Lepisosteus oculatus: one gene and its partners. The protein of the gene in region 1 binds, or shares a complex with, the protein of each later gene. Links are inferred from orthologs where the notes say so. Each region holds a gene or a part of one and is shown in the gene's direction. Other genes may lie near its edges.

Region 1 (10,126 bases):
CTTTGTAACATCCTTTGGTTCTGATATTTTTGTGCAATGCTTAAATATGGGATCACCTAAATGGAGAATGAGGCTTAGCAGAGGCCAACTATGAAGAGACTATGAATAGGTGGCATTCTTCCAGTTAGTCTTAAATCTTCAGAGATGAGTCCTCTGATATTCTGCCTCCTTTTTAGAATTTTTTGGGAAGCACCTAAAGTTACCTGTATTACCTGATTAATTTTAATTTGAACATTTGAGCTGTATCTGCCTGCAAGACTTAAGCCCTTAGACATGAATTCAGAAAGGTTGGTATACCTCGACATTGCATAAAGTATTTCAGGTAGGCCACAAATGAGTGTGCCAATACCCCTGTTTGGGTCAGACCAAAAAAAAAAGCTTATTTTGTATTTCTGTGGGACTTAATTTGTAAAGAATACCTTCCTGGAAATTTTTCATCTGCTTCGTTTAACCATAACATAAAGGGGGTTGCTTTATAGAAACTAGTCATTTGCCAATGGAGTCTAGAGCTCGGACAAAAGTTCACACTGATGAATAAAAGAATAACCCGATTTTTGTGATGGGTAATTCTTATGAGAGGTGCATATGTGTCTTGTTCAGACCAATGGGTTGCATTCAAATTGTTCAACCCTATACAATAATTGTACATTAAAATTAACAGTGGATGTTAAGAACTTAAAATGTGTAGTATTTGGAATGTGGTTAGAAACATAATTACACTCATCTGTTCTAAATACAGAGAAGTCGGGAACCTTCTGAAATAAATCCAGAAAATCCTATATTTAACTATTTTGCTAATTTAGGTGCTAAACAAATTGATAGGATATTATCTAGCTATTTTTAAAAGTAATTTTAATAATTCCAGATTTTCATTTTTAATGAAGTGCCTCTTTTGGGCATGAAGGCACCACAGAAATATACATTTTAAATGAGATCCACTAGTTGTCTCAATCCTAATATTTTTAATTATACAATCAACTTTCTGATAATGGCGCAAGGTCACTTTCTCTGTGACTGCCTTCCCTAGCATCTTGTCATTACTATTTGAACCCTGTAACACTGCTATTGTCTTCAAATTGTTAGCTTATTTACCAGGTGAATGTTTATAGCTAAGTATTGTTTTGAACAGTAACGATAAATGTTGTAAGAATATCAATGCAGAGAGATGAGTTCGTGTTCCCAGTCAATTTTATAAAACGATTTTACTGTTCCCACATAAAATGGTAGTGGGAGCTCAGCATTTACAAGGCAGCTGCTTTACACTGTGCTTCAATGATGGGAGTGTTCAGCTGGATTACAGTAACTGTAATGTCATCTCTGTACATCCTAGCCAACTCCTGAGGCAGGCTGAGCATCCTGGACAAGCGCCTAGGATCCAGACCTCCAAAACCGTCGCTTCCCAGGGCGTGGCGTATCAGATGCGTTGCGGTGTTGTGGTCTTCAAAAGCCGTGGAGGCCCGGGATTTCCTTTCCGCCAGTAAGCTGTGCATCTGTCCCAGGGTGAAGGAGGTCCCGGAAACCGGCTTCTGCCAGTGGATTCCCGTTAAGTGCTCCCCAACCACTTGAACAACATTCTGCCTGTGCATCAGGTCCCACAGGCCGTCCGTGGCCAGGACCAGGAACTTGTCTTGAGGCCGGAGCCTGTGAGACGTGACTTCCGGCTCTGCGGTGAGATAGGGAGGGGTGTGGTAGTTTGCAGGGAGCATCCTGGCATATTCGTTCGCAGACAGTATGTCCGGGCGCGCGTCGAGCACCCTGCTCAGGAGCTCGCCGCTCCATTTGAACTTGATGTCCCCAAAAGCCCGGAAAGGCATGAGAAGCCCCAGCAGCCGGTCGTGTTTGACGACGGTCTTCTCCTCCGTCGCCGGGTGCTCCAGGCGTACCCTCTCCAGCTCCTCGGGGTTCTGGGCGTTGTGATCGTTGCTGACGGTCAAGGCGGACCAGGTGCCGTTGCCGTTCTGGACCCCCAGCACGGCCCGGCTGTCCCCCAGGTTGGCGATGTGCAGGTCCAGCCCGTCCACGTGGGCGACGCAGGCGGTGCACCCCGAGATCGCCACCCTGAGGGGCGTGTAGTGCGAGAGGGGGTCCCCGAGCTCCACTTGCGCTTCCAGCGAGATGTCGCTGTCCAGCCTCTGGAAGGCGCCCACCAGGGCGGCGCCGATGTCCTTGTGGTGCTCGCCGGCGTGCAGCTCGATGAGCTCCTGCCAGTAGGTCCGCAGGCTGCTGAAGTACAGCTTCCCGGCGTCCGTGCTGACGTAGTCGTTGGGGTGCTTGTGCCACTGCAAGACGGGGAACACGGGCCGCTCGTTCTCCACCGCCTCCTCGATGTCCATCAGCGTCTTCAGCGGCAACAGAGACACCGCTATGTAGTAGAAGAGTCGCTCGCTGACCGCCTGCGCGCAAGCGTAGCCGGCGTGCCCGTCGAAGACGCCGAACAGCATCCCCCTGCTCTGCAGGCAGGTGGCGGCGCTCCTGCGGTCCTCGCTGGGCACGTTCGAGGGCAGGAGGTTGCTGTCGAACCCCAGGACCGGGCTGGCGTTCCTGCCGTCCAGCTCGTGGACCCCGAAGCTGTACTCGTTCGTCCTCAGGATGTGGCTCATCTGGGACGCCGCCATCGGGCCGGACTGGGCTCCTGCTCTGTACTTCCTCCTCGGGGTCTCCGCGGGGGGGTAGCGGCGAGGAGGCGGCCCCGGGTGGGGCCACACGGCCGCGCTCAGCGATCTCAGCCGGCGCGCTGCCGCCAGCTTGTGACGGTGGACGGAGAGATGATGGAAACAGTTTGCAGAAAGCATGGTCCTTGAAGCTTCCGGTTAAACACACTCCTCTCCTTGACCTGCATTCGAAATAAACAGAGTTAAGGGAATCGGGCTGTATCAACAGAGCAGGTGCAACTTACAGCTCTTTTAATCTTTTCTTTTGAAACGGTATACAGTTGTCAGTATTCAAGCCTCTCGTATTTCAGCCTCCAAACTCAGAGCTCCGGCTTCATCAAATCAATCCTGAAGTCGGATGAAAGATAAAAGACGCCGGACAGAGCAACAAATACTTCTCTCCTCGTCTAAACCGCGGTCCCAGACGCAAAGTCGCAGGTTTGTGTTGACTGATTTTACTTCAGTACAGCAGAACTGCTATTACACAACGTGTACTTGACAAGGGAACAAACAGTTTTAAAGGCAGGGAGATTTATACCGTAGGAGGGCTACGTGGATATGATCGTAGATGTTTACAATGTCTCTTTTTTAATATCCTCACCAATATTTTATCGGTGTATTCAATCACTTGTACTTCAATATACAGCCAATTCTTTTCTGTAGTTCACAAAGAGTGACATTTGTTCAGTACCACTTCAAAAACAGTTTTGTGCTTTAAACCTACCTTTAAAAACATATTTGTAAAGGGACTCAAAGGTGGACTTCGTTTTTAAAATGCACTTAAATAACTATCACCGTCATTACCTGTAACTGCAGGTGTTGCACACATCAATACCGCTAGTTTTTTTTTTAAGCCACATAGATAAAAAACAAAACTTTAATATATATATATAACTACAACTAACATTTTCAGGACTGTCTCAAAAGCGTTCACAAAGCGACGCACGGTTCTTGGGCCACGGATACCTGTCAGCCTGCCACCTGTACAGATGGCCTCGGTGTAAGGTCCCTCCCTTTGTAAGGCCTTCATACACTCAAGGTGAACCGGCCTGCTCTGCCCGTCCAGTCGTCACGACATCCAGAAAAAAAAAGAGCCAGACAAAGCACAGTCTGCATTAACGACAGTGAGGCCGCCGGCATGACAGGTCGGACAACACAGCAGCTACCTGCGACGACACAATCCGTGCCGACAGCCTCCCCTTCCCCCTCTGCGCAGAGAGAGCAGGTCGCTACCCTGCCATCCTGCGACAAAGCAGCACAGTGACATCGAAATACAAAGTCGTTTCTTTAAACGATTTCTGTTTGCCGTTAGCGTTCTCTTGTTATTATTTAGGCTGTTATTTGGAAAGGTTGGACGTACCGCCGGTCGTGGTCTCCTCCGCTCTGACGAAGTTTACCGTCTGCGGTTGCTGCTGAGCAAGAGCCCCTCCATCTTTCCTCCCGGCGCGCCCCGAGCCGGATTGCACGCCACGATAAAGCCGCTTCTCCCGTGGAGTTAAATTTTAACCTGTCGCCTCCTTCTGTACCTGTCCAGCGGCAGCACAGCCCCGGAGACGCCCTGGAGACTTTGTCCCCGCCGTTTTCAACGCTAAAGGCTAAAGCGGTTTTGTCGTTAAGAATGGAAACATGCAACACAAACAGCACGAAACGCTGGATTATTATTATTATTACACGGAGTCTTGTTGATGGATACAAGCTATTTATAAACACGTAGGTGTGTTCTGTCGCGAATTCAATACTGGGTTCGCAACAAAACCCCTCATCTAATGCAAGACTGTTCAGTTACCCGTACAAAATAAATGACATACAGTGGCGTTTATTTAAATGTCACACAATTTATAGAGCATGTATAACCGCAGATAAAAAGTACAACACTATCATCATAAACGAAAACCTCACTCTTTTAATCATGCACAGAACAAAAACGCAGGAAGACGCTTTTGTAGTAGACGTCACGTTTAAAAAAACACAGCCATTGTGGTAATTAAAACAATCAAGGTATTAAACATTAATATAAACTAGAACTACGTGTTTACAAAAACATAACCGAATTATTTCTGATTATTAGGCGATCGAGGCGCTACTGGACGGGACAGGTGTCGCTCAAAAACTCCCAGCACCTTGAGCTGCAGAGTTCCACGTGACGGTGGCGCTCTCTTCCCCGTTTTGGCTTCAGCAACAACACTTCCGGTGTGAAGTTGAAGGTCAAAGTGCACTTCCTGTTGTATACTCGCGTAGGTAGGGGTGTGCGCGTAACAGTGTGTTTGTCTGTGATGATGTAAGGAAAGTTATTTCCCCAGCTTGGTGTATCAGTCTGCCCTTCAGAGCGCAACTTTGCTCAAACGCAGTTCTTTCCCTTTTCGTCTTCCACGGATGTGAGTTTAGTTGAAATCTCCTTACTGTAGTGAACCGATTGTGGAGAGTTACAACGTAAGTTGTTTTTCGCGTTACGATGCTGAGCAGGACTGTGCTAAGAAACATTTTTGGAGCCAGCAGGGGTGGTTTTCCCTGTCGTGCGTGGAATTATTCCGAAAGCGTGTCGAATGCTAACCACCGGGAGAAAGGTAACAGTTTTTGGATTATACTATAAGTGCTGTTGAGTCCGTTTTACAGGTTTTGTTGGGTAGCCGGCACCACATAAAAACATGTCCAAGCAGGGAGCTGCGTCAACATGCGTAGGCTGCAAAGGAACAAGTAAAGGTTTAAAAGTAATAGGTTTATTCCATGCTGAAAAAAAGAAGAGAACACAACGTTTCGGCCGTGGAGCCTTCTTCAGGTGTAAGGAAGAAGGCTCACACCTGAAGAAGGCTCCACGGCCGAAACGTTGTGTTCTCTTTCTTCTTTTTCAGCATGGAATAAACCTATTACTTGTTCCTTTGCAGCCTACGCATGCTGACGCAGCTACCCACCTGAAGTAAAGGTTTATTTCTGTGAAACACGACGTTTCGCCTGTGGAGCTTTCCTTTCACATAAAAAACATTCCTGCTTCCGCCCGTGCAGTTGTCTTTGTCGTTCTCTTCACATGTGTTTGTTGTTGGCAGAGAACCTCACGGGCAGAGACCTGGAGAAACATGAGCTGCGCCCGTTGTACATGGATTTCCAAGCCACCACGCCGATGGTACGTCGGCTCGGTTAATTACCACATTCAGACATTCATTACGTCGTGTCCGCCCCAGGGGTCAGTGTGGTGGAGTGGTCAGGATGGCGGCATTCCAGCTCAGGGGCCCTGGGTTCCTTTTCGCCCCCTGGGTGCTGTCTGTGTGGAGTTTGCATGTTTGCACGGGGGGGTGTTTCTCTGGGGTTCCTCCTGCAGTCCAAAGTCATGCTGGTGGGTTAATTGGCTTTGGGGGAAATTGGCCCTGGTGTGAGTGTGTGTGTGTCCTGCGATGGACTGTTGTCCCCTGCTTGCTGGGATAGGCTCCAGCTGAATGAAGAGGGTACAGAACAGAGGGATGAGGAACCTCACCGTGTACTGGGGCAGCAGCAGTAGTGAAGTGCCTGCTTTCAGTGGCCATAGCAAGGGGGATCCGCACCCACGACCTTCTTATTGGCGGGGCCCCTCTCCACTCATGTCCAGGATCCCACGGTTGTCCGTTCTTCCCCGCAGGACCCCCGCGTGCTGGATGCCATGTTGCCCTATCAGGTGAATTACTATGGCAACCCTCACTCCAGAACGCATGCATATGGCTGGGAGAGCGAGAGGGCTGTGGAGGTGGCCAGAAAGGTGAGCCCGGCGCGCGCGCTCCCCCTCCGATCCACCGGGCCTGGGCGACGGCAGCCGACGCGCTGCAGGTGCCGCTCAGGCGTCTCGGGATGATCGGGACTGGGGCATTTACAGCAGTGGCAAACAAAAAAAAAACACCTTAAACTTCAGAAGTCGCGTGCTGATTTTGAGTCAGCTCCAATCTGAATTTAAAGCACAGGGAAGGTATTGATTTAGAAAAGAACTGTAAATGTACGCTTCTCTTTTTTCCTCCGTCATGACCCCGTACTGCTTTTCTGTCTTCCCTGTGTAGCAAGTGGCCGACCTGATTGGGGCTGATCCCAGGGAGATCGTGTTCACCAGCGGCGCAACGGAGTCCAACAACATGTCAATCAAAGTGCGCATCACAGCAACAGAAAGTTGCCTCCTCTCGTGTGTAACCCGATTGGTGTTTAATCGATGGTGTTGATTAAGTGCAACCTGTGCATTCAGTTAATGGTCAAGACTGTGTGGCTCATTAAGGGGCAGAAGGACAGACTAAATGGGCAGGGTCATGCTACGATTATAATAATGTTGTATTGAATACTAGAAGGCCGACGTCCATTCTCGTTTTCCCTTCCTGTCCCTTGTACCAGAATGTTTCTCATTTAACGATAGAGCGTCTCACACCAGCAGTGAGAGACCATGATGCCCACTGACCTCTCTGACCACTCTGATCACTAATTGAGCCCATTCATTGCTGCTTTGAAACACACACAGCCTTGTGTCCTAGTTTCAAGCAGGTGGTGACTATAAAGAGACAGACAAAGCCTGCAGGTTGGCCTCCCTTTCATGACCCAGGGTTGTCCTTCACCGGGTCCCCCCGTAATGCGATTTTCCTGGTGTTCCCTCGGACTGCAGGGTGTGGCGCGGTTCTACAAGTCCAGGAAGAAACATGTCGTCACCACGCAGACGGAGCACAAGTGCGTGCTGGACTCCTGCCGAGCGCTGGAGGCCGAAGGGTTCGACGTCACGTACTTGCCTGTAAAAAGTAACGGCCTCATTGATCTGGAGGTGCGTGTTGTGTTTGTAGCGGTGCGTTGGGAGAAGGGGAGCTGAATGTGCTTTCATTTGACTATTTAGATCTTGAGCTTCCTACAGCGTGTATCTCGGTATTCTCATAGTGCTTTTTTATTCAATATTTACTCATTGACTATAATTCAGGAAACGTGCATTACATAACCATACTCCACAATGTTACCCTTTTGGGTTTACAGACTTTCAGGTTGAATTACAGCTTTGAATTAAATCTTAGGCCGGACTTAGGTTTGTTCAGTTCTTACTAGATTAAAAATACTGAGCAGGTTGAAACGTCTAAGCAGCATTATGGGTGTGCTTGCCCACTTCTCAGTTTGCTCATCTGCCTTGTGTTGTTTGTCAGCAACTGGAAGAGACCATCAGGCCTGACACCAGCCTGGTTTCAGTCATGACGGTCAACAACGAGATTGGGGTGAAACAGCCGGTGAAAGAAATAGGTGAGAGACCCTGTGCTCCTGTTGCAGTTGGGCTGGCTTCATGCTTTTTATTTTTTTATCTTTCTCGTAGCCGTGTTTACATTTTCAAAGGAACTTTGTGTTCTGTTCCGGATCAGGTCGCGTCTGCCGTTCCAAAAAGGTGTTTTTCCACACGGATGCGGCTCAGGCCGTGGGGAAGATCCCGGTTAACGTCAACGAGTGGAACGTCGATCTGATGTCAATCAGTGGTCACAAGATCTATGGTCCAAAAGGTGAAGCACGATTATAGACAAGTGGTGCCTCTGAATTTCCGTTCTATGTGAGTCAACTGCAGTTTCCTTATTAACTGAATATACAGTACGTCTATTGAGATGAGGCGTAGGTGAGTACAAGTCGTATGAAGGTGCAGTGAAAACCAGAAGACGGTGGAGTTACTGTAGCTAATACCATTGTTTTACCAAAACCAATTTACTATTGCATTGGTTGTTATACAACTGTTCCCTATTCCTGTTGTCACCAATGCAAGACGGCCAACTTAATTGCTTGATGAGAGGCTAAGTAAAGAAGGAACTGGCTGAGCAAAAGACGTGCACTGGGACAAGTGGCATGGGACACTCCGCACTCCCTTGCAGTTCCAGCACAGGGCGCAAGGTGGCGTGGGTCTGTGTTGAGATCAGCTGATTTGAATGTGAGCAGTGGGGAAGCAAGGCAGCATACGTCAAGCCCTTCATTTCCGTTCCCCCTCATTGCAAAGAACATTCTCCCTGCTCTGATAAGTAACGTAGTGCTGTATGCATCTACAGTTAGGCTGGGGTGCATCGTATTTGTCCTGGCCTTCGTGTTTACCGCAGAGTTGTTAGCTCATTATTATCCTCAACAAGAAGCAGCTGGAGGAAGTCTTTATCAAGAAGCTGTGATCGTAGATGTCAGGCCCCCGCTGAGGATTTTGTTTAGGTGCACAGGGTTGAAGTGTTTTGAGGTCCTCTAGCTTCCGATACCCTGTGTTTCTGGAGCCCTGTGGGTGACGAGGTTTTCTTTTTTCTCTCTGCGCTTGTTGGCAGGAGTGGGGGCGCTGTACGTGAGGCGGCGGCCCCGCGTGCGACTGGATCCCCTGCAGAGTGGGGGGGGGCAGGAGAGGGGGCTGCGCTCTGGCACGGTGCCCACCCCGCTCGTCGTGGGCCTTGGCGCCGCCTGTGAGATAGCACAGCAGGAAATGCAGGTGCGGAGACCGTGTGGGCAGAGAGACGCCTGCTCCTCACGTGGACCAGAAGGGTTCTGCTCCGAATGAGCTAATTAAGGAGCTAATCATTTGCTGCACTTGACTGGATGAACAGTTTGCAAAGATCTTCGGCGGTTGAGCATTTAAAGAGCCCTAGAAAACCTGCTGATCCTGCTTTCTGCATTTAGGCTTAGCTCCGTAGATGCGAACTTTTTAATTGGTTTGATTACAGCAAAGATGGTGCAGCTGGTCTCCCTGCCCCCCATCTTCTCAGAACCTGCAAAAGATTCTCAGGCTCACCCTGTCTTCCCTGCAGTACGATCACAGGCGGATATCGATGCTGGCTGACCGTCTCCTCGGGAAAATCATGGCCGGAATCCCGGATGTGGTAATGAATGGAGATCCCGAGAAGAGGTATCCAGGTGATGTGCCGCTCTCGGTCGTCAGATTCGCTGGGCTGCGCCGCGGGTTCGGAAGCGTCAGTGATTGGCGGTGATGATACTGGCTGGGTTTTACATGAACCCGCCATGTCTGGCTTTTGCTCTGTTTCCGAAAGCACATTGCTGGGCAGGAGGTGGCAGGCTCCCCTGCAAGTTACCCTGTTTGACATTCGTGTATGGGCTGGGGTATTTAAATGCCCTTGTCAGATATGGGCCATTTTATCATCATGGGTAGTGGCACAGTAGCATAGTGGTTAGCATTGCTGCCTCACAGCCCTGGGGCCCTGGGTTCAGTTCCAGACCTGGGGTGTTGTCGGCCTGGAGTTAGTATGTTCTGTCTGTGTTTGTGTGGTTTTCTCCGGGTGCTCCGGTTTCCTCCCACAGTCCAGAGACATGCTGGTAAGTAAATAGGCTTCTGGGATAATTGGCTGTGGTGTGAGTGTGCGTGTCTGTGTTTGTCCGTCTGCCCTGCAATGGTCTGACGTCCCGTCCAGGTTGTATTCTGCTTTGTGCCTGCTGCTTGCTGAGACGGGCTCCGGCTCCCCCACCACCCTGTACTGGTTGAAGAGGTTGGAAAATGGATGGATGGATTATTGTGAGAGAATGCTGCTCGAATGAGA
Region 2 (10,672 bases), on another chromosome or scaffold:
TACAAACCACAAAAGACAGGTTGGTTTTGGAACAACAAAACTGGTAGTGAAGGTGGTGCCCGTAAGGGAATTCCATATCACGATGAATCTAACAGCAAGGAGCTGAAACACATTATTGACCAATTATCAATAAGGATGAAAAGTTTTAAGCAGGATAAATAACAGAGAAAATATACAGTTTTAGTTTCCATTTACTAAGCATGGATTTTTTTAACAATTGAATGTCTCTCATGACACACATTATAATTAAACTATATATTTTCTTTTTTGGTAACGTTTGTCTTTTGGTAACTTTTGTGTAAAAATTGCCTGTTAACTTTGTCCTTTCATTTCCTGTAGCTTAGAGTATGACAGCTCTTCTCCGAGATGGATGAAGCAGGACTGTCCAGAAACCAGATGATAGCATGTAACCTCCTGCAACAGAAAGGCAGGCACATGACCTTTGGAAGCTGCCATAACTCACACAGAATAACACTTTGTCACTAATATAAGTAATGAACACAATATTGATCTTGTTTTAAGGTCAGAAAAGACATTATCTGCCACTGTATTTCTTAGTGTGATGTACTAACTGTATCTCAGTCAGAATATCAAGATCAAATGACAATTACTATGGGATTTCAACTGGTCATGTTGAGGACTTCAAATAAAATGTCACAACTAAAGTGATTTCTTTTCATCACTCTATTTACAATATCCAGTATAGAAATATACTGAAGCTGTAGCCTGAATCGGCAAGCAATAGACCCAAGGCAGGATACACCCTGGACAGGACATTATCGTTCACACATCCCTTCAAACAATCAAGGAAATCTATAGTATGTCATTTTGAAATGCGATTTGCGTTCTGTACATCATGTGGCAGCCTCAGACTCCCTATTTAAAACCCTCCCTTGATTCTATTTTCATTGAGACACAATACAAGTGAGTGTAAGAGGGTTAAATACCAATATGCTGTGTCTGCTCCCAGTCCTTCCGAGTCATGTCTGCATATCTGTAGCAGAAATCTGCCATTTACACTTGGCTTGGGTGCCCTGCAACACTATGCTCTAACCTTGAAGTAAAGAGCAGAATAATAAATGTTCAGCTCATGCACTATGGTCTGCTCAGCAAGAACAGAGAAGAGATCGAAGGCAGAAATGGCCATGCATATCCTGCAATAGAGCTTTTTATTTAGGATGGAGAAGAGAGGATGCATTTTTTTGGCTGCATTTGAGAACTACAAACTCATACATGCATAGTGTGTCAGAAAAGACACAGTGGTACATTGCACTCCGCATGAGAGAACACAATTTGATACACAATTTATGAGAGTTAAAGAAGAATCTGAAGTTCTCTGCAGTGTGATAGAGAATTATCTATTGTATCTGAAAATAATTATATACTTTAGCAACTCTGTGTGACTCACAGTGGTAAAGTAAACTATGTGACTGGATTACAGTAGTTGGAATGTTCACTACACCATATGAAGCTGAGCTGTGCATCCTTTATCAAACTTTAAGCACAAAGTGCACTTAACATACAATCATCATTTGCATGAATGTAATAATACAGATAGGGTACATCTGACTAAACTCTCCATCTGCAATTACTTCTCAATCTTTTCAACGATCTACAGTATCTACCGAGGTTTCCGTAAAACTTTCATTCGCTATGATTTTTTTTTGCCCTTCCTTTTGCCAATGCTTAGCAAATCTGGTGTAACGTTTATTTTTTTTTATCGACAAGTTTAGGTCACTTCATTCAGGTCTTTCACTTTAAAATCTGATCACTCCTCATCTTGACTAAGGAATGAAACAATAACATTTTCACTTGACTGAGTATATGCAAACATTGTAAAGCTTTATATACAGTAGCTGCAGTTGAATGTTTCCAGTATTTATCACATTTTTTTACAAATTACAGTGTTTCTTTCAGTATTGGGTTCAGAAAGTTTAAAAATGGTCTGGCCTTAATAAAGATGACAATACTGTAAGGCTCACACTGGAATGTGGTTTGAGACATTGGAGGGTTGAAGATTTATGGTTACTGCATACATAAGGGACTCCAGATAAGAGGTTTTCTTAGTTTGCTTTAAATAAAATGAAGCTGTGGAAGTTGAGGCAAAATAATGTATACATTCATTATACAGTAGGACTTTTTTTTAACCAATTCATTGGGGCAAATATGACAATGATTAACAGCTCAAACTTCTGTTCACTGAAGATCTTATTTCTCTTTGTACATATACTTGAGAATACAAATAAATTAGGGGGCTATATGTGGATGTGTTTGTTTTAAATAACTTTAATTACTATATTATAAAACTTCCCCCTTTTCTTTCGTTTCACCTCAAACAGGGCAAAAATACATTCATATGTAATAAAATATCCATCCATTTTCTAACTGCTTTGTCAAATTCAGGGTTGTGGGGGAGCTGGAGTCTATCTCTACAAGCAACAGGCACGAAAAGGGACACACCAATCCATCGCTGGACAGACAGATACACAGACACACACACCAGAGCCAATTTTCCCAGAAACCAATTAACCTACAAATATGTCGTTGGACTGTGGGAGTACACCAGAGCACCCAGAGGAAACCCCACACAAACATGGTGAGAACATATGAACTCCACACAGAGAGCACACCAGGTCCCAAACTAAACCCAGGCCCCAGCACTGCAAGGCTGCAATTCTAATTACTCCTCCAGTCAAAAAATATACTTAAAACAAACAAAAAAAAATAGAAATAAACTTGCTGTTTTTAAATAAAGTTGAGTTATTTGCCTACAGTGCAAATTTTCATTTGGTGAAGACTCTCCACCAGCAGAATGATGATTGATGATTCATGATTTTTTCTCTCTAAAAATGCTTTATTTTGATGACAAGTTTTTTTAAGTTTACCATCATTACCGACATCATCATAAGCAACATCAAAATCCATTCACTACTAGTGAATATTTAAGATGGTTAATGTATCATAAAGACAGTAGACTTTTGGCATTTTTAATATAACATGATGAGACCAGCCAAATATTTTGTCTCATGAGTGATGAGGAGAGGACATTTCTTCATTGCTTTACTTTCCAGTATAGGATAGATTTTGAGAAATTTCTCTTCTAAGCCCTGGACCAAATTCTTACAACATATTTCAGGGCTGTCCAAGCCTCTGGTCCTGGCGACCCATTGTGTCTGTAAAGCAGGAACATCTGAAGTGAAGTGTCAGTACAGTTGCTAAACTTGTCCTATTAAGCTAAGCAAGAACCAGGAATAGACACTCCTGACATTAAGCATAGCACATAATATTCAATAATAAATCACAAGCAATAATATTATAAGGATACAATTACCATCAAGTGTGTTCCAGTTCTACTACTATATACACTACTATTTAATCCCAGGCAGTCAGTGCCAGATCTCTGTAGGCACAGTGCCTAGGGCCTACAGAATTTTTAGGGCCTACGTAGGAGGGAAACACTAGTGACTAATGAAAAATGTGCTGAAACAACAAGCTTGTGATCGACTCTAGGTGCTCCAAATAATGATCATACGCTATCTAGCGGCTGTTCTAGAAACTAGAAGTATCGAAGTGATGATCACTCGGCTCACTCCATCAATCACGTGGTTGAGCATTAGAATAGTTGAAAGTGCGTTGTGTCAATAGACATAATTCAAGTGGCATTAGTCACGTTTTTGCACACTTCGGAGAGAAAGTGCCTAGGGCCTACGAACACCAAAATCCGTCCCTGCAGTCAGTGGGGCAAAAAAGGGTGGCGCAACATTGCTTCTAGGTGCTATCTGCATATAATTTGTATCTACTCAATGTGCTCTGTTTTCCTCCCACAGTCCAAAGACAAGATGGTAGATTAAATGACTTCTTGTAAATTTGGCCCTTTTATGAGCGTGTGCATGTGTATGTAGTGTAAAAAGCTCTGCAGCCCTGGAATGGATAAGCGGAATAGAAAATGGATCAATGGATAAACAAACTGTGGTAAGATGGCGGGAGCAGTTTGGGAATTGAGGCAGGAAACGCTATTGCCTGCAAGCTGGTAAATGAAGTAGGGGAAGGCATTTCTTGTAGCCGATGTGAAAGTTCAACTCTCGTCAGACCATCAGAATGAACTCAATACAGAACCTCTCTGCAGACCCGGGGAGTCAGCATTCTAAAATGAAGGTCCATGTGAAACTGGCTTTGTCTGTGTTAAATTAGGAGCACATCCTCTGGGCTTTGGCACCAGTTTGCAGGGATGCTCTTCTCACAGGTCAGATAGAAGAGTAGTACTGCAGCAGGCAGCTCGCCCAGCCCAAAGCTTGATTTGGGAATACAAGTACCTCCTTTTAGTTATTGAAATCTGTGATCAGGTGCGCTCTTTTTGAATTTTTTGTGATTAAGCATTTGTCCTCTGCAATAAGTATTTTAAAACAGTTAGTTTTAAAATGTAAGTATAATAATAAACTTTAGTTTATATAGCACCTTTAGAAGTATCTTCTCTAGACGAGTTAAGGGAAAAGCAAATAAATAAACAGTTTCAACAAATGAATAGTAACTAAGTTAGAAGTTACAATTAGCACAAAGAAACACAAGGGATTAGAAATGTAATAGAAGATGCAAGGAATGACATCCTTTTACGTAAAAGCCTAATTATGCAAAGGTGGTATAGATTTGTCGGAGTTTGGGTCTAACATAAATTAATTTGCACATCAGGCAGAGGGACAAGCAATTCATACAATACGTGGAAAGGACTGACGGCAACATAAACACCACTGCTTTATGATGTTTCAGCGTTTATTGGATAAATACTGATGGCATTTAAATAAAGGTATCCGTTAAAAACGGAAACCTGAAGCTCTGCAAATAATACAGCATCTACCTGCATCTGTTCACAAATCAGAATTCTGCAATTCAAAACCAGTTCCAGAGATACTAATATTTTATTTACACAAATAGTCTTTACAGCTATTAAATAATTCTCTATTTCTCATTATATATTTTGAAAAATATTAACTTTGGTGGTTTTTGATCTCGGAGTCTGAGCGCAGTTGCATCAACCCACAGCCACGTAAGTAACAGCTAATAATAATATAAAAATTGCTTACACTTATATAGCGCTTTTCTGGACACTCCACTCAAAGCGCTTTACAGGTAATGGGGACTCCCCTCCACCACCACCAATGTGCAGCATTCGCCTGTTAAGTATTTCAACCACTCCGATCATTTTAATAGTTCCTGTCCTGGCCGAAAAGACCGATGCGGGATACTCAACTGTGAGATTGCGGAGGGGTGGCTCTGTGGCTAAGGATCTGCTCCTTTGGCTGGAAAATTGCCAGTTCGCATTCTGTGGCCGGCAGAGGAATCCTACCCTGTTGGGCCCCTGAGCAAGGCCCTTAACCCCAACTGCTCCAGGGGTGCTGTACAATGGCTGACCCTGCCCTGCACTCTGACCCCAAGGTTCTCTCCCTGTCTGTGTCTCATGGAGAGCAAGCTGGGGTATGCGAAAAGACGAATTCCTAATGCCAGGAATTGTACTGGGCTAATAAAGCAACATTATTATTATTATTATTAATTTTAACATAAAACTGAGGAACATTATCCCCGGCTAAAGGAATGGCATTATTCTAAACTAGAAGACAGCGGCCACCTTACCCTCCTAGGGACTTTCTGATCCAAAAATATCCCTCGTGTAATTTCTTTTTTCAACAGGCTTCGCATTTTCAAGGCAAGCAACATAAAATGAGTGTAGTAGAAAATATTACGTCACTTTCTTCTCCAGTAGCCGTTACGGTATTATCAAGCGCATTGCTACGTTACAACACCTGCAGTCTCAATTTCAAAACCCACTTTATCACGAAAACTGTATTTCCTTTACACCAAGATCTTTATTCATAATTGACCTTGCATTTCTACACCGCATGTTCATTTTTCCCATTTCTATTAAATACATAAAAAGCTTTATTTTACTGTAAGTTATATGTATCACTACTCTGTAATTTATTTTAGTTTATGGATGTCCATATGCATATTAAATAATATGCACTACTGTATATGTACTTTTAATATTTGTATTTTTTAGCACGTACATCACGTTTCAAGATACATTGTGTAACAGGATGGGAAAAAAATCTCATCCGCCTGAAAATACATAAAGTTTGACTAGCCTCACAAATCGTAAACTAATTGTTTTAAAAATGTTTTAAAAGCCGGCAGAGCTTTAAGAAACGATGATTATATGAAACACAACAAACGTCTCTCTCAACACAAACTCACTCACACTCACCTTCTCCGCTCTCCAGTCCTGACACTTTATTATTGAGCAGTTCCTGATTTGCCTGTTTAATTTGAACTTTTTTATCAAACTAAAACAATGGAATTAAATATTAGATTAATATTATAACATAAATATTACACTAATTAAATATGTATTATTACATAAAGCAATTTGTGGGAAATCAGTCCACAATTATTAAGATTTCTATCGAGGCTCCTCGATAGTAAACTATCCTACGGGCCTTGCAGGAGTAGGTCGCAGTTTTTTTCCCAAGATGGCAGCCTCCAGCAGAAGTCAGGTGCTTTCTCTGTACAGGCTGTTGATGAAGGAGAGCAGTAAATTTCCTTCATACAACTACAGGTATTTGATCACTGCTTATTGCTAATTACTCGTGATCGCATGAATCACATAGCGGGCACTTCATTTAACGCTGTGCCATGTTATACAAGTGTTGTCATTGCAGTGTAACAGAGCTTTCAGGTTATAGATAGGATCTGAAAGTACGGTTGCATTTTTATAGCACATAGAAGTAATGATATTATTTAGCAGCAACATCTGTGTCCTCTTCTGGTCCCAGCGGAGAATAACCCGCACTTGTACCTTACTTGCGATGTTGATATGAAAACCTGCTTTATTAACTATGACCTTTTGGTTATGTGTTTTAGTTTTCGAAAACAATAACCCGATCCACAATTAGAGGGATAAATGTATCTTTTCTTTCCTGCAGTGATCTGATTTATAAAGTATTTATTCCTATAGAATTACGGAGCACAATGTGATCATTTGTATTTTCTTAATTACAATATTATCCCGAAATACTTGAATCGAAAAAAGTTAATTCCTTGTCCATTGTTGTGCACCTGTGATAGCATAAAGTAAAACCTATTACACTATTATAATTACAAAACCTATTTTAATTAATTGCAGTCTGTTGTCGCATTAAATGTTATCCAAAACTACACACAAAATGATCTGTTTTCAGCATTTGATAGTTTTTTGCTTAAGCCAAAGCCCTCTCTTCTCTGAGTTGTTACACAAGCTGTGAGATAAAGGTAAAAGGTTTTGATACATTGGCATAACAGTTTATATTAATAACACATAATTCGACACCTTTAATTATCTATGTAACGATTTTTTACTATGACAGGCCTTGGAGAGCGCAGGTATACAGTATAAAGTATAAAGGATTTTAAAGTACATGAAGAGTAAAAAAGTTTTTCTCCAGCTTCTCCAACCGCTAGATAGAAACCCTGTGACACGAACAGCACAGCGCAGTATATCGCGTCAGTACACACAATACAATGCGAAGACAAATTTCACTTGGCTCTACAGAAACTGCTATTACTAGTACTAAATTTCAGTAGTATATCTTACAGCACCGAACACTTAATTTATAACAAGTCTTACACAAACCCTGAACGTGATGTACAATCATGTTTTGCACAACCATAAATTATGTAGCAGAAATCATACGCTTTAAAGATCCTGCTGTTAAAAAGCCTTTGAAACACAATAATGGTGGTTCTTGGCTTAGACAGTAATTTTGTCTAAATTGCAAACATGTAGATTTTCCCTGTTCGTTTTCTTACTTGAATTCCATGGGCAATTGATCATTTACAGACTGTTGAAACTATAGTAATGAAATTAAACTTGCAGCCTATTTTTGTGTAAAAATGTTACTGGATTGAATGGACTAAAAAACAAAGATTAATAACAGCTAGCTCCCCATCCATGGTGTTGAGGTTAACAAGAAAGGGCTGGATGAGATACTTGGATCAATTAACTAACAGTTAACTTCCACAAAATGGCTGGGTACCTTGTTGCATAGTCCCACATCCCCACGTGTCTCATGCTCACAATTTTAAATGGGCTTCTACATAATTTCCATTTGTATCCTCTGGTTTTTATCTTGCTTTTCATTCTGAAGCAATCCGCTGGATTGATGCTGTGTCACTGCGTTTTAGGACTGTGAATACTGTATATCAGATCTCCTTGTAGGATTCTCTGTTCAAGACTAAAGGGCTTGAGTTCCTTCAGCCTGTCAGTATAGGACATGTACCCAATTTACTCATTGTGCTTTCCAGATTGAATTTTGGTAGTTTAATGTTATTGAAACAAAAGTAAAAGTACTGGAGATAGATGTAGTCAGCTACACAATTTATAATTTACAGTATCTTGTTTTGAAAAACACCATAATAATCCCAACATTAATAATGTATTTTGCGGACTGGACGGACATGGACCTATTAAGAAAAATTGAAAACCTCCCCGACTCTCTTTCTACTTGTTTTTATCCGAAAAATTTTAACTCCCTTCTCACTTTTTCTAACTCATAACTTAATCACATCAATTTATCACTTTTTGCATCCATTTATATATATATTTTTAGAAAGACTAGGAAATATTGTTTCACAATTATCACATAAGTTAATTTTTAATATCCTATCTGCGTTAGTTTTGTACAGCATTATTAATATACAGTAGGAATGCATATAATGCTTAATATGCAGTATATATAACATTCTGACATTTCTGTTAACTTTCAAAACGTATTCTTTATGCGATTGTTGTTGTAATTTGTAAAGTAGTTCATGTTCCTGTGGATAAGAAATAGATTTTTTTGTATCTGGGGATTACCAGTTCAGGTCCTGACTGCCCTTTTAGTAAAATCAGGTCCTGATTTTTTTAGGCCCTCTAAGTTTTGTTTATATTCAATGCATCTGCTGAATGTTGTTATTATAATGTAAAAACAAAGTTTTGTAAAGTATGTGTGGTAAAAACACAATCCTTTACTGGGAACACTAGGCTCACAGTCTAGTTCCTCTGCTTGGCATTTCCTGATAGTTAAGATATTGAATGTGCAGTAAGGCATCCTTGGACTGTATCCCAGGGGTAGGAATTGTCCTGAGGTGGAAGCTCGGAGCTTGATGTATGGCACAACTGTGAAAAGCAGCATGGCTCCATTTTTGCCCGATCCTATTAGCACAGTTTTGCAAGTGAACAGATCCTAATTAAAAGTGCTCACCATCTGCCAGAGCCCAGCACCGAGGTGGCCCACAGCATTTACCTTCCCTCATTGATTACAATGTATTATTTATCACGTTTTTTGCTGTTTCATAAGATGCAGGATAGCAAATGCCACTAGCAAAACGGGAGGTCTTTACTCCTCACCACCTACAGCTAGTGTGATGTGCCCCCTTCCCACGAGATGTGTGTGCATTAGGAACTCTCTGCTCCACAGTTGTATAATCAGTATTATACCTTCTGCTTAAAATAGAAGCTGTAGTTCTGCTCTCATTTGTACCTTACTCACATTGAAGAACACTTTGCTTTTGACAGCCAGTGCTATATATATCTATCCTTTTGTTTGAAAAATTTTGAGAATTATTTCTTATGTGAATGAATTCTAATTGAATTGCCTTATTTTGATGATTATGGACCTTTTAGTTGGAAGTTCTGCGCCAAGGTACATTGGGTGGCTATTGCATTGAAACACTGTGAATTGGAGGGCTGCAATATCTGGTGTGGTCAGTACCTGGATGGGAGACCTCCTGGGAAAAACTAAGGTTGCTGCTGGAAGAGGTGTTAGTGGTGCCGGCAGGGGGCGCTCACTCTGCGGTCTGTCTGGGTCCTAATGCCCCAGTATAGTGACAGGGACACTATACTGTAAGAAGGTGCCGTCCTTCGGGTGAGATGTAAAACTGAGGTTCTGCAGTCAGCTTCTAATACTTCATACTGTTAATAATCCCCATCTATGAACTGGCTTCCTCACTCTGTTCACTCTGTTCTCCTCCCCACTGATAGCTAACGTTTAGTGAGCGTACTGTGCACACTATGGCTGCCGTCGCATCATCCAGGTTGGGGGTAGTTCTATAAAACAGCTTACATAGCCTTCATATGTAGTATTTGTATGTTGTATTCTGTAGCCCATACAACTATTATTATTTCATTATTATTACATTATACTGTAAATATGATCAATTCCAGGTCTAACATTGTTGGATCTTGGTGGACAATGTGTTTACAATAGTTCAGTAGTCATATGAAGTAATCAGTGATTCATCACGATCATAGTAAAATAACTATTGCTGTTGTTCTTTTGCACAATAACTGTCTTAATCAGGGAAACAAAATGCAGTAGAGCACATTGCACTAAATGAAATAAAACTGAAATAAGCGAAAACAGTTGAAAAATGGTTTTTCACATGCAAAATCGTATAACTGAAGTAATTTTCATTTTTCACCATTTAATGTCAAAATATTTGTCACCTGTCACAACTGAGAACCCCTTTAGTGTTTCATAAAATTAAATAAAATCCTTTGATCTACACAGAAATAAATATAAAACAGTCCAGCTGCATGAGCAGCATGTTCATTCTAGAAAATGAAGCAGCTCTAGTAAGCCAGCATAATAACATGTAATGA
Region 3 (10,052 bases), on another chromosome or scaffold:
TTCAATAGCGCCTGCTGCTCAGGAGTGGGAACACTGCCTGGAAGGGGCTGTGGATATAAAAAGGTATTGTCAGGTTTTAACCATATGGAGCAGAACTAGCAGGCATCTGTCTAAAGGGGAAAAACAATGGGGAACTAACACCGAAATCATACTAGAGGCTCCAGGTGCAAAGGAATGAGCTCTTCGTGAAGTACTCGCAGACCAGGTGGACACAATACTTACTGGAGTGTGCGTATACAAGCTCTGTGCCGCAGATGAGCACATAATGTACTTGACACACTTCCACATTCAAATTGCCATTGATCATTTCCAACTCAGTCCAGGAGAGCCCCAGTTCAGTGGGTTTTATAACTAAACATGAAATCACTCATTTCTAAACACTTACATCAATTTCCTTTGCAGGTGATTTGTTAAACTATGCCATTTTAAAATAATATGAAACGGAAGACTATGCCTCAAAGAACAGGGTTCCTTTAATTGAGCACATTTTTACTTCCTAATATAGTCATTTACAAGGGCTCTTATTTTTTAGAAATGTGATTAAGAGCGACCTGTAAGACTTAGTGGATTGGTCTCTCCACAAGCCTGGTTGGAGACCACTGATTTCAGGACCAGGACTGGAGAGGCACCACTCTGCCCGGCGTGCCTTACCTGTACAGTTCCCAGGATAGCGTTCTCAAACTCTCTGAACGCCTCCCACACGGCCGTCCCTTTAGTCATGTGCAAGCCCACAGCTGTCAGGGCTCTTTCAAAGATCTCTCGCACTTTCTGTATCCCACCCTGAGTCCCGATCCCCCCAATGGAATACTGAGCGTATTCCAGCCAGATCTCGGGGCCTGCATTCCAAAACAACATGGCAGGAAATTAAAGAGTCCTGATGAATAATCAGTTACAACAGTGCTGGAGACATAACCTATTAGCATCTTTTTTTGGTAAATGAATAAATGTCGTTGAGCCTAAAAGTATTTCTGGTTTGACATATCTTTTGGTGGTTAAAAAGTGATAGTTTTGCAATTCACAAAATTCACATGAATTTAATAAAGCACCTTAACATCACTCAAGGAACACAAAGACAAAGAGCAACATATAAAGGAGATGGCAGGGCTTAATTTGGTATGCAAAATAAGAATGGGTCAAGCACAATCGAGCCCAGATTTTTAATAAATTGTAAAAGAAAACAGTCTTACTTACAGATGTAATCCTTGACTGCCTTCTCAAAGAGCTCATACACTTTCTCCCGATCAGAATCTTGATCTGCCATGCGTATTTCATCTTTCAGCCAGTCCAACCAGATCTCTATGTAGAAATGCATGAGACAAAATACTTAAATTTATCCACAGAAAATACAGGTATTTCCTTTACTTTTGTACAAACAAATCACTGCACGGGACTGAGGCAGTCTGTCTCAACTATCCATCTACAAGTACAAGGTGCAAAAGATCTGAACCGAGCGCTTGCAGGGACTGCGAGGGTAAGACAGGGTTAATATGCATTTTTACCTAGGGAAAAGATGATGCTCAAATTTTGCTCGTTTTCCCCTTTTCACGCAATTTAGGTCTTTATTGAAAGAATGAAAACCGACATGAATATTAAAAAAAAGCTTCACTTCCATTTTTGCAGCTCCATTTCAAACACTTGCATGTACTGGAAGTGACAGACAGCTACTGTCCTATGGGACCATGTTCGTGATCGAGATCAGTCAGACTGGTGAATCAATGGACTCCAATGTGTACAATACACAGATTGGCTCATATGTTTCTAAAGCCTGTAATCTCAGTATCTGAAAGGGGTGTTTAAAGGCAGGTTAACGAATAAGCGCAGTGAAAGAAAACATGGCCACCCACCTTCCGTGAGAGGGAAGAGTTCGCTCATCTTCTGTCGCGCTCTGTGCAGACGCACCAGCTCCCCCTCCTGGCGGAGCAGTTTAATCAGGTCCACATGGCAATTATAGTCGAAGGCGTTGATGGACAGCTGTTGGGCAAGAGCACATCACAGGTGAGCAAGCAAAGCCCAGTCCACCCAAAAACAAGACAGTGTCCAGTACTTTATACAGAGTGGGGAACAAGAGGGCCATAAACTACTAGGTCTTCTCACCGAATAACACAGAAAACTCACTGCAACTTCGGTTTTACCGGCCCATCACCACAATCTGGTAAAGTCACAGCTACCCAGAAAACAACACCCTAGAAGACAGGATGTCAGTCCCATCTCGAGACACTCACACTCACACACCTATTGAGCACATGTCTAGAAACACCCTGTGAAATCCTACACAAGAAGAACATACAAACAGCTCAGGAGCTGCCCCTGTCCAGAATCAAAGCCAGGGTTCAAGAGCTGCGAGGCACCAATGCTTACTGCCACACCTAGCTTAAAAGCACAGCCAATATTTCCTCTAGGCTTCTAAGCCCATTTGCCACACAAAACACATCCCAGTAAAGAAATGTTTTAATTAATGAATGAGCAACCCCCCCATCTAAATATCCATTTTACACCACCTGTCTTTTTTTTACTTAAATGACATGCATTGTGAAAATGGTTGCAGCTGTGGCAATAGGACACTTTAAAGTTGATCTTGTGGTCTTTATCACACATAGCACACAGGGCATTTCAAACAGGTCTTTTGTAAGAGGAAAGCAGAAAAGAAGACCATGAAGCTTATTTCTTTGAAGCAATACTTTGTCTTACTAGTCTTTCGTCAAAAGATTAAAGATTGGCTATATGTAAGGGAGCTGAAACGCTGTCTTCTTCCCAAGCCAGTTATCAGCTAACACAGGCATGTGAAAACAGATTTCTGTTTCTCCACTCTCAGACAATACCTTCCCTGCCACCAAGTAAATGGAGCCCATTATTTAGCCTTATACATAATTTATCATTATAACATGCAACCTTATGCAGCATGTCATTCTCATTATAATTTATACAATGTACACATTCAAGACTAGAAAGATCATATTTGCTAAGGATTTAAAGTCCATTTGGCTACATTTAATTAACCTCTGTGCTATGATCCCCGCTCTTGTGTGACGACTTTCCTCTTTAGCTCTTAATTGCCTTCCATTGCTTTCACCCATAAAATATTTCACCGCATAACGACTCTCTGCGCCTGTTTCTTTCCCTGGCTTGTTTTTCCGATTACAGACACCCTGGACAAGAGCGAGAACAGGGGTAAGGGTTAATGGTAGCACAAGTTTCACACCCGGTAAAAGGATGACGGCCAGTATCCTTATGTTAATCAAACGCTAAAAGAGAGCTAAAAAGATCGATTTTAAGGATTAAACGCAACGACTCGTCAATTGTATTTCAGTAATGTCACTGCTAGCAGTGTCGGGCATAAACAGTACAGTACTTGCAAGTCAGTAAAAACGGGGTTTTATCGGGGAATCGTCACGTGAGGTTAACCTATATCTAGAGGGGCACACGATCGTTACTGACTTCTGGGCTTCCGCTGGGAGCTCAGAGGACGACAGAAATAAACCCCGCTTCTCTAATCATGCAAACCCGCCGCACACCAGCATTTACAACAGCCTCCTGCACCATTCGGCAAATCTGCGCAGCACGCCGGGCGATGCAATGTGTCAAAACCGAGGGGTTACGTACGTACACACAGTTTAATTACATTCGTATTAAAGTGCACAACCTCCGAAGTGAAGCAACGGTGATTGTGAAGTGTAGCTAGCTAGCTCTGCGTTTCGGTAAGTACGTTGCTTTCACCTGCATACGGTGCGCCTGCTTGCTAAATGAATGGGCGTCGGAAAGGACTAGATAGCGCAGTAATTTAAATCCCCAGGCGTGTATGAATATGCAGCTATAAAATACATTTTTTTTCATTAGCGGTCCAATTGCGTTTTCTCAACTGATATGCCTTTTGCCGTTTCCACGGCCTGCATTCGCCTAGAGCTCGTAATTTTTTTTGTGCAGTTAGGACTTTAGAAGGAAAATATTACTGCTGGGCTGCAGTTTAATTAAACACCATTTGCTAAGTGAATCATTCCATGTCGGTGGTGCACTTGCAATATCGTCCAGCCCCATTCATTCATTTCCTTACTTGTTCCTCCAAGCGCTGGATTTCAGCCTCGTTTTCCTTCTCATCGTCCGAGGAGTCTCCCTCCTCCTCATCGGACCCTTCGACTCCCATGCCTTCCTCTTCTGACTCCATCTCCCTCTCTCCGCCGGCCGCTTCTTCCTCCATGTCTTGCAACTGCGTCTCCTCTTCGCTCCCCGTCGCCGCCATGTTGGGACTCGATCTGCCTGGTAACAGCGGTGAGCTGCCCAAGACACCGCCCGGCCCCACGAAAAAAATCACAAGGCGGAAAAATATACAACGCAGCTCAATGAAAGCGCGTCGACCTCCTTCATAAATTAACGGTGGGAAAGGGCAGTCAATCGCGATACGATTTATACGTATAATTTCACTTGAGTCGACTCGGATGTTCAGGCGATTTCACAGGTGTTCAGACGCACTTTTTCCTCAGGACCTTCAGTCACAAGGGACCAGCAGCGCTTGCAGTGAACCACGTGATTCTATTAATGCAGCGGAGGGCCATGTTTCATAGGGTCTTCGAGTAATGATAGAGTGTTACCGTAGTAATAGTTAAAAAATTCCCACCCCCTACGAATAACAGAGTGAATAAATATACACCAGACAACTACATCATTATGTTTCATTTTACACGTAAATATTTTTCCATTCAACCATTTACCGGGCAACCTTGAATTTTCAGTAACGGCTTCGTCCAATACACGGTCAATTAATACAGCATTAATAAAATATATATTTTTTTAAGTACGGTATGTGGAGTTCGGACTTTTATTAAGATACAGACGAAAGTGCAGTTGTCACTGTCCCTCAGTATCCCAGTTTTCTTGCACGTTAAGTTAAGGTTGTGTAAGCCTACTGTTTCATAAGCTTTTGAGCATTTCCTCCTGCTGTGTTGATTTTTCTTTACAATAAAACGGATTGGCAGATGGGAAAGAATAGGTGTACCCCTCTTTTATTTTTCAAAAATTTAATGCAGCATAAAATAATACAAAAAAGTGGAGAAACGGCCTCCAAAAAGACGGGAACAAATCAGAACGCTGCCAAGAGTTCATTACGAATCCGAACAGAATCGGTTACAAAATGAATATCCGTCAATGGTGTTGGTGCGTTCGTGATGTTTCGAATGTAATTGCTTAGGTAATATTGCATGAAAGAAATGTCCTTTGCAAAACGTGTGGGAGGAGGGGGGGGGGGGGTATTAGACGCAACTCCTCCCCCCGTTACGCACGCGAGCAGGAAGGTGCTTATGCGCTCGCTCCGGCTGCCTCGGGACAGTTGCTGTCTCGCATCCTCGCTGGAAAGATGGCGGTGGCGATGGTGAAGCGGTGTTGCTCCCCGCTGTTTTTCTTCAGAAGGCTTTCGGCGCCGGAACTCACCGTGTCGTTGCCTTATCACAAAAAGGTATCGTGGAAACAGGGCCGTCTTTCACCGCTGCCGTCCGGGTGTCTGCATTCTCACCGTTTGCGTTCCCGACTCTTTTTTTATGTCGTGCGTATGTCGTAATGGGATACCTACAGGGGGCGTTCCTTGCTGGTGTAACTTTTAACTGCGTTTTAGAAAAACACACGCTTTCGACAACGACACCTACAAAAAGAAGCAGCTGTGGGAATTGGCCATCCGATTCCAGGTGGAGTTTAAAACCCCTGTTTTGTAACGTTGTTTTTAATGTCACCTCGTGTGACGGCATCGGGTCGGGTCATGTTTTGCCTGTAACGACACGGCGGTGAACCCCTCCGTGTCTTCTGTATTTGATAAGCGACACTGTTGCCTTTAGAATTTTTCAAGACGTAAAACGTTTCAAGGCGTTTTTTAATCTTATGCTTGGACTGAATCATGCAATACGGCGCGCTGTTATGCTGTCATTAATGCCGCTATGCGCGTAGCGGCGAGACGACTGTAGTGACGTAAACGCAATACGGATGACTTGTTCTATTCTGCAGTTTTTCGAAAACTTGAACCGCTTTGATCCAGTCAACAGTTAAACCAATTTGTGTTTGAGAGAACGGTATTGTAAGTACTTTCAGCGGGCATCGAGCTGTCTCCTACAATACCCCGCTCGCTAACTAATTAACTGACGAGAGAAGATAGTGCTTTTCCCTACGTGTGTGTTTGGGGCATGCATTATCAAGTTCCTTTATGTAAATGGAATGGATGGTTTTAAGACCTTCTTTATCATTAATAATTCCTTACATTTAGAACTTGTCAACCACAATGAACATGAGGGGACTTACTTCATACATCACTGTGGGTGTGCAGTGTCCATGTGGATCAAGTGCAGCAGCCATTCTGCACGAACATCTCCACTGTACTGTAGATCAGATGGAGGATCAGAGATGCTTCACCCGTTGAATGAGACATTAAACTAATTAATTCAAAGACTGGCACTTTCTGTTGTGCATTTTGCACCCTTGGTCACAAGAGCACCACCTACTGGTCCACCAACACCACTTACAGGAGCAACCCAGTTTTTCCTCAGAGGCTTACTGTACTCTGGTTCCGGTACTGACCAAGTCTAGCCTTGCTTAGCTTCTGAGATCAGACAAGATCAGGCTCCGAGGTTGTGTCACAACAGCACATTTAAGTACCCGCTACACTTGTGAGAAGAAATCTGGGTCACTTAAATGTTTATACCATGCTTAGAGCTAAGCTGTTTTTGTCCTGGCTAGCATTAACCCACCTTTTGTCTGTCACTGACATGGTGGTGATTTCTGCTTGGCAGAGTGAAGATGAACAGCCTTGTCTGGATTACAGTGCGTGGTAAAATGGGCATTTGCATTAAGTTGTTAAGCCCCTTGGGTAAGCGTTCCCAGACATGACCTGAGTTATGTGATCTTCCTTTGCAGGGTACAAAAGGTGATGGCACAAGAGATGAGTAACAACGTGTTTATCATCTGTCCTAATTTGCTGAAGCATGAACTTCGGAAACTGATTGCAAGCTTTATTCGGAGAGGAATGACACTCATTCAGAGTGTGCTTTTCAAGAACGATTCATGATTCACCTTTTTATTGCTTGTCTTGCCACAATATAATGATTAGACACACATGTTTTTCTTAGCGTTTGTTTGTGAGGCAGTATTGTCTGGACTGGGGTGGCATGATGGCGCAGTGGTTGGCATGGCTGCCTCAGAGTGCTGGGGCTCCTGGGTTGCTGTCTGTGTGGAGTTTGTACATTATGTTTTCCCCGTACTCACATGGGTTTCCTCCAGGTGCTCGGTCTCCTCCAACAGTCCCAACTCATACTGGTAGGTTAATTGGCTTCATCCAGGGAGTCTCCTGCCTTACTCCCTTGCTTGCTGGGACAGGCATCCGCTCCCCTTCAACCCTGTGCAGGTCAAAGTGGTTAGAAGATGGATGGATCATGTCCGGACTTGAGAATTTGAGAATGACCTAGAGATTTTTTAAAAATAGATTCAGATACTTGGGATGAGACGGGGACCCAGACTTTTTTCACTCAGATTCGTGAATATCTAGTTTTATAAATGTTTTTTTTTTTTGAAAGCATAGATTATTGTAAACTATATGGCATTGGGGGGAAAAATTACCTGGGCCCAATTGCACTATAATGATCAGGTTGTGTGAAATGTTACCCACACAAGGTTTTCCTTTGCTGGTCACCATTAAAAATAGTTACCCTCAGTTTCACGCAGATGCCACATTTTACAGGAATCATAATCTTGTGTTCAGCTTTGTCTGTAATCTATTAAAGCCCCATTAGCTTCATCAGTAAACCTTAACCTGCTGTTTGATGTGCAAATTACAATGCTCGACTATAAACCTGCGGCCTTATTAATAGAGTATATCCAGTGTCCATCCACCCCCCGAGAGTGTGACTCGGTGCTGCCCAGAATACTCTATTGTAGGGAGGGGATGAGGATCAGGTGCTTAAACGTACGATTGACAAGATAATCAGCCTGTTTTTCAGTAGATCAGTCTGTTCTGGTTTTTGTTTTGGAAGGTGGTGGGACTCCTCTTACTTTTTTTTTTAAATGGTGTCCTTTAAAGTCTTCCACCCATGGGGTCACGATTGCAATAAAGACATAGAAGAATAAATCAGGGACATTTTTGTTTCTTTAAAGGTGGTGGATCATTATGAGAACCCCAGGAACGTGGGCTCCCTCGACAAGAATGCAAAGAACGTTGGCACTGGACTAGTGGGAGCGCCCGCATGTGGCGATGTCATGAAATTACAAGTAAGTTAGCTGTGCAGTTACCTGTGCATGATACACCCTTTACATTCCTGTTCTACTGTGATTGCCACATTTGCTATGATAATGTGACCTTAACTGAATACAGCTACCATCCAATTATATTTAACACGTACTTTGTCAGGATAGATACAAAAAGTGTTATGTGCTTAGCTTTTGAAGCTTTAAAGCGAACTGTTCTTGGTATCCATGGCCATTACCAGATGAGCTTGCGACTCCCATGAGACTTGCGCTCGTATGGGATGTTTGCAGTAGAGAACAACTAAATTAAGCTCACGTTTTGGATGAGAAGTATTCACAGTTTTTAGTAAACCCTGACCTTGAATTTGGCCCCGTGTCTTTGCAGATTGAAGTGGATGAGCAGGGGAAGATTGTTGATGCCAGATTTAAAACGTTTGGCTGTGGGTCGGCAATTGCATCCAGTTCTTTGGCAACAGAGTGGGTTAAGGGCAAATCGGTAGGTAACTTTTTACACGATTATTTTTGGAACATTTATCTTATTTGCAAGGATTTAATCACTGAATTTGCTCTTTTCTTTGCAGATTGACGAAGCCCTTAAAATCAAGAACACTGAAATTGCCAAAGAACTTAGCCTTCCTCCTGTCAAACTGCATTGCTCAAGTAAGTTAATGCACTATTGTTTCCAATCTGTTTTCAGCACAAGACCCTATCACCATCTTTTCATTCATCTCCTAAAATTGCTAAAAAATGTAAATTATCAGCTGTAACGGTGGGGTTTTAGGACTGATTTCCCATACTCATGTTAGTATTGGTCCAGGACTGCTAATGTAGATTGTTAGATGGACCCTGTTTAGCATTAGTCTTGGACTAAGAAACAAATGCATTGACTTATGAACCTATCAGTGTCCATTCTTTTTAGAGCACCTAACATCTAACAGTGTTGCCTTTATTGAAAGTATTGACCATGACAAGTCTAACAGTTTTTTCTTTGTTTTGCCAGTGCTTGCTGAAGATGCTATTAAAGCTGCTTTAGCTGACTATAGACTGAAACAGCAAGACAACGATAAAACAGCACACGCCAGTAATTAGACGGGCGCCATCTACACCATTCAAGACAGAGAGTTCTCATTCCAGCATTCAAGCGTTGCAATGTCTACAAAGGCGAAGAAAACAGCAAGTTTTACACAATCACTCTAGACTGGAACGCACAATGTAATATAGCTTCTTTGGTGATTGATGTGAAGTAAAAGCCTTATCTGTCAGGAAGATTGCATAGCTGTTTTTTTATTATACTTGTTTTGCAGCCATTTGTTTTTTTCTGATTTGTATCTTATTGTATGGATTAGTTTTCTGTTTAAACATTTTGAAAACTGATAGTGGCATTATAATGCGCACACACAAGAAACAGGTGGAGTGATACCAACATGATAAAAATATATGAAGCCCTACCAAGACCTGCAGGACATACCTGGAATTATTTTGCATCTTCATTAGTAACACAAATGTGTCTGTAACGGGAAAGAAGAAAACTGCATCCAGCATTCACATTTTATACCATGTTTATTTGCTGTGTATAAATTGGCAGTGCAGTTCTGTGTTGGCTAAATGGTTGTAAAATGCATCTCTTTACAGTATGTATATAATACAGTGTGCAGTCTGTATAATAAAAACAACATTCAAAATGGCTTACTGTATGATAACTAATGGTCAAAAATACTTATTTGTTACATTGGGAGGTTGGGGAAAAATGCTGTTCACTACGGCTGTAGTCTCATTAGTGTGACCTTTTGAGGAGAGGGAATTCTTAAACGTTTTTAGCAAAATAACATTTGGCAGATTTCTGT

Evidence for each region.
Region 2: the proteins of nfs1 (region 1) and lyrm4 are in contact, whole or in part, in a crystal structure (PDB 6W1D), measured with the Homo sapiens proteins. The link is inferred for Lepisosteus oculatus from reciprocal best matches to the Homo sapiens genes NFS1 and LYRM4. Residues at the interface, in NP_066923.3 of Homo sapiens: Leu56, Arg57, Pro58, Leu59, Pro68, Leu69, Pro71, Arg72, Leu74, Asp75, Leu78, Glu314, Tyr317, Arg321, Asp372, Arg412, Phe413, Thr414, Thr415, Glu417, Glu418, Tyr421; in NP_065141.3 of Homo sapiens: Phe23, Tyr26, Asn27, Tyr28, Thr30, Tyr31, Arg34, Arg35, Asp38, Val65, Arg68, Gln69, Ile72, Thr78, Asp79, Lys80, Leu81, Ile82, Ile83, Asn85.
Region 3: the proteins of nfs1 (region 1) and iscua are in contact, whole or in part, in a crystal structure (PDB 6W1D), measured with the Homo sapiens proteins. The link is inferred for Lepisosteus oculatus from reciprocal best matches to the Homo sapiens genes NFS1 and ISCU. Residues at the interface, in NP_066923.3 of Homo sapiens: Tyr360, Val361, Glu362, Glu364, Ser365, Leu367, Met368, Ala369, Lys371, Glu399, Asp400, His403, Ser404, His429, Arg432, Leu433, Glu435, Met436, Ser437, Pro438, Leu439, Glu441, Met442, Trp454, Thr455; in NP_998760.1 of Homo sapiens: Tyr35, Val40, His42, Tyr43, Glu44, Val49, Gly50, Ser51, Leu63, Val64, Gly65, Ala66, Pro67, Ala68, Cys69, Gly70, Val72, Lys74, Phe90, Lys91, Thr92, Phe93, Gly94, Cys95, Gly96, Ile99, Lys135.

The regions. Positions count from the first base shown.
Region 1 is NC_090711.1:2,605,409-2,615,534, forward strand, and holds the start of nfs1 (cysteine desulfurase), read left to right. Parts: upstream 1-4,853; 5' UTR 4,854-5,103; coding exon 5,104-5,215; intron 5,216-5,692; coding exon 5,693-5,769; intron 5,770-6,258; coding exon 6,259-6,375; intron 6,376-6,667; coding exon 6,668-6,751; intron 6,752-7,254; coding exon 7,255-7,407; intron 7,408-7,774; coding exon 7,775-7,868; intron 7,869-7,984; coding exon 7,985-8,119; intron 8,120-8,908; coding exon 8,909-9,066; intron 9,067-9,382; coding exon 9,383-9,488; intron 9,489-10,126. Other genes in the region: pyruvate dehydrogenase [acetyl-transferring]-phosphatase 1, mitochondrial, read right to left, coding at 1,242-2,792.
Region 2 is NC_090701.1:18,437,785-18,448,456, forward strand, and holds the start of lyrm4 (LYR motif-containing protein 4), read left to right. Parts: upstream 1-6,494; 5' UTR 6,495-6,521; coding exon 6,522-6,607; intron 6,608-10,672.
Region 3 is NC_090717.1:6,282,100-6,292,151, reverse strand, and holds iscua (iron-sulfur cluster assembly enzyme ISCU), read left to right. Parts: upstream 1-5,265; 5' UTR 5,266-5,344; coding exon 5,345-5,443; intron 5,444-8,118; coding exon 8,119-8,232; intron 8,233-8,593; coding exon 8,594-8,704; intron 8,705-8,789; coding exon 8,790-8,868; intron 8,869-9,208; coding exon 9,209-9,297; 3' UTR 9,298-9,893; downstream 9,894-10,052. Other genes in the region: sart3 (squamous cell carcinoma antigen recognized by T-cells 3), read right to left, coding at 1-47, 652-836, 1,192-1,296, 1,845-1,971, 4,049-4,234.